2 linked regions of the Drosophila melanogaster genome follow. The protein of the gene in region 1 interacts with the protein of each later gene in a pairwise test. Each region holds a gene or a part of one and is shown on either strand. Other genes may lie near its edges.

The links.
Region 2: the proteins of Met75Ca (region 1) and Prosap interact in a two-hybrid assay, tested with the Drosophila melanogaster proteins (one large-scale study listed by BioGRID).

Annotation. Positions count from the first base shown.
Region 1 is NT_037436.4:18,471,632-18,474,521, reverse strand, and holds Met75Ca (Met75Ca), read left to right. Parts: upstream 1-2,137; 5' UTR 2,138-2,157; coding exon 2,158-2,313; 3' UTR 2,314-2,379; downstream 2,380-2,890.
Region 2 is NT_033778.4:14,137,690-14,142,691, reverse strand, and holds the start of Prosap (prosap), read left to right. Parts: upstream 1-1,789; 5' UTR 1,790-2,903; intron 2,904-5,002.

The sequences.
Region 1 (2,890 bases):
TACCTCATCCCCTGAAAAAAATACCTTATTGCAAATATTTATTTTGCTGTAAAAAAAATTGGGCAATTGAGAAACTGATTTTGGGACAATAGAGATCAACATCCTATTTGGTTTCCAAGAAGAACAAAAATGAATAACTCAGGGTTTTGCAAAAATAAAATCACGTTTGGTTCGTGTCAAAAACAGCAAAAGAAGACGTATTCTAATTGGTTTGCATTTTTTTTTTAGTTATTTAGTTCACACAAAACAAATTGAATTTTCAGTAGACTTACATATAACTTATGCGTAAACTAAATTTGCTATAATCAATTTGATAAAGACTACTGACGAACTTAACCTTTATATGCAAAAGCTAGCAAAGGTTTTGGTTGCTTGAACCATTACACATTCGTAGATAACAATTGTATGCTCTTGTATTACTTAAATAAATGCATTCTTAATATTAAGTTAACTTCTTAAATTCATAGTATTTCATATTTATTCCACAGTGAGACCATGGAAATGGCGTGTAATCGCCAAGCGAAAAGCGAAACTGAGTACCAATGTCAAGACTAATGGCGTTTTATTTTTCGTTGGGCTACGAACTCAATTAGCTGCCGTGCGTAGCGTAATTAAGTTGATGCCACGCCCAATTCGATAACCTAAACCTATTCGGGCGTCCACTACCTGCCCACGCCATCCGCCCCCCAAATGATCCAGTTTTATGCCACCTGACGTCGCCTCGCGATGTGTATGCAAATACATTATGCGAACTGCTTTCGAGCTGGCTTAAATTAATTTATCACGTGCCAAAATAAAGCAACTACCGGTGGCTTCCCCCCTCTGCATTTTTCGTGTAATTAATTAAATTCGAGTCGGAGGAGCTCCTAAAAGTTCGCCACGAACAAAAATTGTTTGCTTCGCTAAAGTTTAAGTTGTGCTCTTAAAAATTAAGTTCTTCTTTTGCAATTCCGGGGCATAAAGCTATCCGCTTACACATAATGGCGCCCCACATTCGGGCGCCCCATGTGCCCTACTCAAGTCCAACTTTCTGGGTAATTATGTCTCCATGTAAGCTCCGGGCAGCAGTCGTCACTCAGCTGGGTTTTACCGATTTTCCGATTTTCCGATTTTCCTTTTCGGCTTTTGCTTTCTATCCGAAAAGAGGAATATTAAGTATTCATTGGGAAACGCAAGAGAAAATCGGTTGAAGTGGTTGCGGGAAGTTGCCGAAAGGCAGCGTTCGTCATTTCAAATTGAATTTTTAATTTTTAAATACTTACCAACTGGCGAAAAAGAGTTGCAACTATAATGCATGGCAAAACTGTGAAAAACGTCAATGGCACTTCCAATCTAAATAAGTAATTTTTTAAAGCTTAAGTAAGGGATTTATCAGTAGACCAAATTTTGTAAACTTTTGTTGGGTAAATTGATTCTTATAAAAAGGTATTATGGGAAAAACTGAGACTTAAGGAAATTAATTACAAAGCTCATTGATACAAATTTTCAACAGTTATTATTATTGAAACACATATTACAAGTTTTCTAAAGTCTCTTAAAAAGACTAAACACACTAAAACAAATTAGGCCAAGGCAAGGTAAATGGGATCTTAGTTAAATTAGTTATTAGCTAAACTAACTTTGCAAATCCCATTTGTAATGTAATGTAATCGATGCAAAGCTAAAATAACTATTTATTTACTGAACACAGCCCGTAAAAAGTGCGTATTGAATTTCCTTCGATGTGCGAAGTGCAAGTGATTAAACAAGTAAGTGCGGAGTATTACATGTGATGATGTGGTGCTTGACGGGAACTCAATTCTCTTGGCAAGTTCAAACAGAAATCTAATTTAAAGCGGCTAGAAAGACTGAAGAGATCTGAAGAGAGACGGGTGGGAAAATGGGTAATGTGTGTCTGTGGACTGCTCATTTCGCTTGTTTACGCATCCAACTTGCCATCAAGCATACGCCAAGTGAGCCATCGCAACAGAAAGGGTCATCGGAGAAATGTTAAACTAGAGCGAACAGCTTACGTAAGTGATGGGATTTAAATGCCGGAAAAACTTAAATGGCAAGCTTAACGCCGTATCACGTAGCATCCATATTAATTGCAACGTGTAGTCGGGTATAAATAGCTCACTACCTGCCACAGCCGATCATTCAGCACTACTCGACAAGATGAACGTATTCAATGGTTTCTTGCTAGTCTTCCTGGGCCTGGCCCTCAGCTCTGTGGATGCACAGATAGCAACACGCCAGGAAACCTCGGAGGACAAGGCTTGTGGTCCCCACGCCTACTACAATTACGCCCGGCACACTTGCCTGCCATTCTAGGAACCTTTCCAAAGTGTCCTATGCCTAAAGAAATAAAACGTTAAGGTACTAAATGTACCAGAAATTAATACGCGATGTTTAAGTTAAACGGGAAAAGAGGGTGCAGCATAAAAAGAGTGGACATTACATTAATGGTAATTCTATCCTTTTGGGAGATGCTTAAGAAGAAGATCATTTACAATACTTCTTACTGTTCAGAACCATCGATTTAGGTTAAGAAAATAACTAGATTTCTTATTATGAATGAATTGGTAAGCTCAATGGGCCATTATTTGAACGACCTTCAGCAGCTACCTCATCCACACCATGACTCCGAGGAAATGTTGGCAATACGTGGAAGAGCTTTCTTGAATGCACAACTTTATGCCCCTTTCACTGCTTCGCTAATTAATTCACCCCTAAGAAGAACGGTTTCCCAGTCCCAGGAAGCTGCATCATAAACCAACTTGTAATGGCGACTGCAGTCAGGCCAACGACTCTTATAAATGATTCTTAGAAAAAGGTATTATTGGAAAAACTGAGGCTAAAGGAAATTATTTACAAAGCTCATTGATACAACTTTTCAACAGTTATTATT
Region 2 (5,002 bases), on another chromosome or scaffold:
TCAGCATGTGGCTCTCAAACTGTAAAGCTGGCACGCACCTAAAAATGAAAATGGAAAACTGGGCGGGTTTTAACAAATTGTGGATCCATAAAGAACTCATTGAATTTGACAGGATTTCCTAAATCAATTCTTTATTTTATTTTAATTTCGTGTAAAATCACCCGTATAAAAATGCAAGAAAATTGGTAAAAAAGTGGAATTTATCGCGTAATGCAAGAGCACGTTGATATTACAGGAAAAACTCGGTAGCATCAGTGAAATTGCATTTTTCGACTGCCTAATTTTCCATGCGAAACCTCCTGCTTCTCTTCATAATAGGAGAACTGGCACTAAAACTGACCTCTGGGGTCGTCATCATTTTTGGCTCACGTTTATGATTGAAAATGTTCGTTTTTCGCAAAGCGGAGGAGTTTTGCATAAATCAAGTCAATTGGGTATATCGAGGAAAGCCAAATGAGTGATGGTTTTGAGTTTAAAACGGGGTGAAATTACATAAACTTCATATGTGAGATTATTTCTGGAAAGGATTTCAAATATTACAAAAAAATTTGGGTAAAGTCGAGATATTATCTTATTTGTAGACTTAGACAAATGTAATACGAAACAATGTGTTTAGGTTCGAAAACAACGAATTGATGTAATGATTTATGTAAAAAAACTGTACATTTAGGTACAATTTAGGAATTTATCTTATGATTTATGTAAAAAAATTGTACATTTAGGTACAAGTTTATTTGATGTATCTTAAAATGGTCATAACTTGCATTTTTTAAGTAGCCAATTAGCAAGTTTCAAATCGTTGTGGACCAATAAAAGTGGGCAAAAAAACACTTGGACTTTCAGGTTTTTTGCAATAAAAACAAAACCACAACTTAAGGCGCCTTTGGAAATAAGCCTTGGATAACAAAAACAGCAAACGAGGAAATTGGGAACAATGGACCGGCAAAGAAAAGCTGTCGCTCCCCGAAGCAACAACAACAACAGCAACAGAGGCTATGGATTAGCCACACGTGGCCCCCCACACTACCTCCCAACCACCCACTTTGGGTCAGGAAAATGAAAAACGATTCGAGCGCCAGAAGAGCCAAAAGAAATCGGCGAAAAAACCTTAAGAAATGCTGGAAAAATACCCAAGTGACCCAGAACTTGTGCAAGAAAATAGTCAAGGTGCTCGAGGGGAAATTGAAGGGGGAGGAGTTCTGCGGAGGCGTTTGATTTTCCTACGCTTTTGATGTTTTCCAACTAATGACGAAAGCAGCCAGCAAAAAACTCGAATGTTCGCCGAAAATGTTAGCCTGCTGTTAAGAGAAGCAAATAGCCCCAACATCCGGCGCAATAAATTTCGAAGAGCGGTTAACGGTCGACTTCGAACTACATGTTAGCATTTCGTGTTGGAGTCTGCGCTATGTTCTGATTAGAATGTCTAATTTGGAATGTCAATGAACATTTTAATTAAATGTTAAAGTTTTAAATATCGTGTTTTATTTCAGTACTGATGCAGCTATTGATATCAAGAGGCATAGCGCAGAATAAAAAACTAAAGTAAAATAATAAACATTGATTGCATTTGCAATTTTTAAATTCGTAGAACATTTTTCTAGCCAGGGCGCAATCCGTCATACAGAACTCCAATCAGAACTAAGTGCTGCCTCAAACCTCACGGCACAACCGGTTAACAGAAGCCGCTCTTTTATCGAATTCGAACTCGCTCTCTCCAACTAGAGCTGTAAGCCCAACGTTATCGGCCTGTAATCGAACATTTGCCATCTCTAGTGCGCTCTCCAACGATTTTTGTTATTGCTTTTTCAACCGCGATTCGTGCAGCATGTGTGTTCGCGTGATCTGTTAAAAAAATAATGCTTAAAGCACATCGGTAACCGTTAAAGTCGCCGGGGAAAAAACCAATATTGATACTAACGAATTTTCGAATAATTTTCACAAAACGATTTTGTGCGCGATTTTTTCGTCCAGGCTCAAGAGGAGTGCGAGCGAGAAGGAGCGAGACAGTCGACGGTGGCTGCGTGCAAAATAACGGTGCACCGAATTCGACCAAATAAAAATTGAAAATAATCGCCGTGATTATTAGAATTTTAAACTGCCAACTGCAGCTAACGAATCAACCGATACGAGAAACCGATCGATGTGAAGTGCAAAAACAAGTAGAAAAATACAAATAATAAAAACAAAAACCGGTTCGCCTCTGCAGCAGCAGAAATCAAAGCCAAAAACGAAAAGAAACAAAAATCAAAGACAGCGAAAGAATTTTTGTTGTTTGGCCGGTGCGTATGTGTTTGTGTGTGTGCGTGCGCGTCTGTGTGTGGGAGTCTGCCAGTGTGTGTGAGCCTCTCGGCAAAGGAGAAAAACGCACAAGTCGGTAGGAAAAAGGCGTACGTAAGGAAAACGAAAAAGAGAGGAAAAAACGCAGTAGGAATTTCTTGTTTCCCCAAAACCGAAAAAAAAAAATCCACGTAAACCCGTTTCCCTGCAAACACACAAAATATAAAAGGTGAAAAAGTACAAAAAAGAGTAATATCTGTGAAATAAACGGAGGCCGCAAAAAGTGGCACAAGTGAAAATTCCTGCGCCGTTCGTTTTATTATTATTTTTCTGTTGCCGTCTTTTTGACAATCGCCAAAAGTGAAAATCAATTTGCGAGAGCGCGCGCGCAAGGAGCGAAAAGGAAGAGAGAGAGAGAGAGTGTGAGAAGGAGAGCGAGGAAGAGCAATCCCGATATAGAACTCGTCCTTTTTCGGCCCCAAAATTACCCAACCCAAAAAAAAGAGAAAGAAAACTGAACGAAAAACTCCCGGAGAAAACAACAACACACAACGATAAACTGCAAAAGTAAACAAATTGCGCCGAAACTAAACGAATTTCGGAAAACTGCAGCCAACGGAAAAAAGGTCAGTACACAGCGATTGATTGGCCGGAAAATTAACTAAATTAAAGTAAAAACCCTCGAGTGCCAAAGTGGTGTTGAGCAGCAAACACCTTTTAATAGTCCCCCATTTGACCTTCACCCATGGACACCCTCGCAAATTGGTAGCACCAAAGTCGGGCTAGCAGTTAACCCTTACCCTTGATCACCGTTAATTGGACCCCCCTCCTCAGACTATCATGGTCATGGTCAGCAGGTTGTGAAAACGGTCATTTATTGAGGTGCGTTACCCTTGCATTATATAAGGCACGAAACTCTTCAATGAAAATCTAATTTCAAAAGGATTTTAACCACTGTAAGAAAAAAAGTTAAAAATGTATTAAAATATCGTATAGAAATGTAAAGGTATTTGTGCTTTAGATAAATGTAACAATAAAAAGGTGACATCACTATCTGTAACTATTATATTGAATTATTGCATTTGTCACTGCAACTGATGATTTCAAGAAAATCGTTAAGACCTACGACAGTTATTATGAAGCAGCTTTTCTGCAACTTAAATGACTGTTACTTCTGTTCTATGGCAGTTACCGCCTTCTTCGAGTTGCACACACTCATTCGAAATAAATTCGGACTGGCAGCACGTTTACCATTTGGCTGACTCTTTCTTTAATCGCACCTTTTTATGGGCCCACCGTTATATTGACCTTCACTCGAGGGGTTCTGCTCTTGAAGAGGCATTCATAAATTTCGTTTTCTGTGCGAGTGATTTGGAAATTGCACGCTTCCCTTTTTTTTTGTTTTGGAGGGGCTGGCTGCTTCCCCCTTTTTGTCCCACCAATTGCAGTTATCTTGGTTGTTTTTGTTCAACTTTACTCATTTGTTCATAACGTGACTGGTTCTTGTTGTGGCCTATTGCTTTTTGGTTGTATTTGTTGCTGCTGCAGCTATTGTTGTTGTTGTTACACAAGCGTAACAATAAAATTTCAGACTGGCCCGCCATGAAAATAGTTAAAATTTTATATGTGCTGTTATGATCATGTTTTATCTGATAGTTGTTCGCTTGTGGCACGTAACACGGTTTGTTTTAAACTTTTTCGTTGATTTGCAGGCGGCATGAAAGGGGCAAAGATATATGTACATATATGTTTATATATATGTTTATATGTACCTACATATATCACGTAGATCAGCGAGGGGAGAACTATCTGAGATCCAAGAGTTGGGTCAGCGGCTGCTTTTTGTCTCGGTTACTTAATGTGGATGCGGCTTAATTGTTCCAAAAGATCAGATATCTTGTGCTGCGCCTACAGTTGTGTTGAGATATAATCGTTACCCAGAAAATAAACATAAATATAAAGGTTTTCAGAAGAGCTTTAAAAATCATATACAAATCAGAAGAATATACAGTGCATTTAATATAATTTATTTGTAGAGCATTCCCATATAATTTTTTCTTGGAAAACGTATAAATTTACATTGAAATATTTATACTACTAGTTAATGCCAAAATAATATAAATATTAATGCTCCAAAATTTGCTCATGCTCATTTATCAGTCAGAATAATTTCAAAATGTAAATATTCTGAATGTTTTAGTGTCACGTTGAATTTAAGACGTGATCTCATGCTTCCCTACTCGAACCGAATACTTGCAGCTCTCACTGTTAACTGTTTGCGTGATCTTACTTAATTTCCTTACTTTGTGTTATATTCATTAAAAGATTTGACAATTTGCAGTGATAAATCAAAAGAAATCTGAACTCCTCGTGGCCTGCAAAGAGTGACATTTTTGCTCAACATTTTGACCAACATTTCGCCCAATTTGCATAAATTTCAAGCATTTGATTCATACGAAACGCTCCAAGTCGAGAAATTCGACTTTTATGGGCAAACTCCAAAAGGCCCAGGCAATTTCTGATTTATTTAATGAGCAAAAATGCTTCGTTCGATTTCTTTGGCTCCCTCGCTGCAAAGTAATCTCTCTACAGACCCGTAGGCGTAGATCTCAGATTGGTTGGCTGCCGTTGAAGTTTAACAAATTTAAAGCAATTTTCGTAGCTATTTTTGGGGTCAATTAAGTTTCGAGGGGGAGCCACAGATACGAGGAGGTAGATAGTAAAA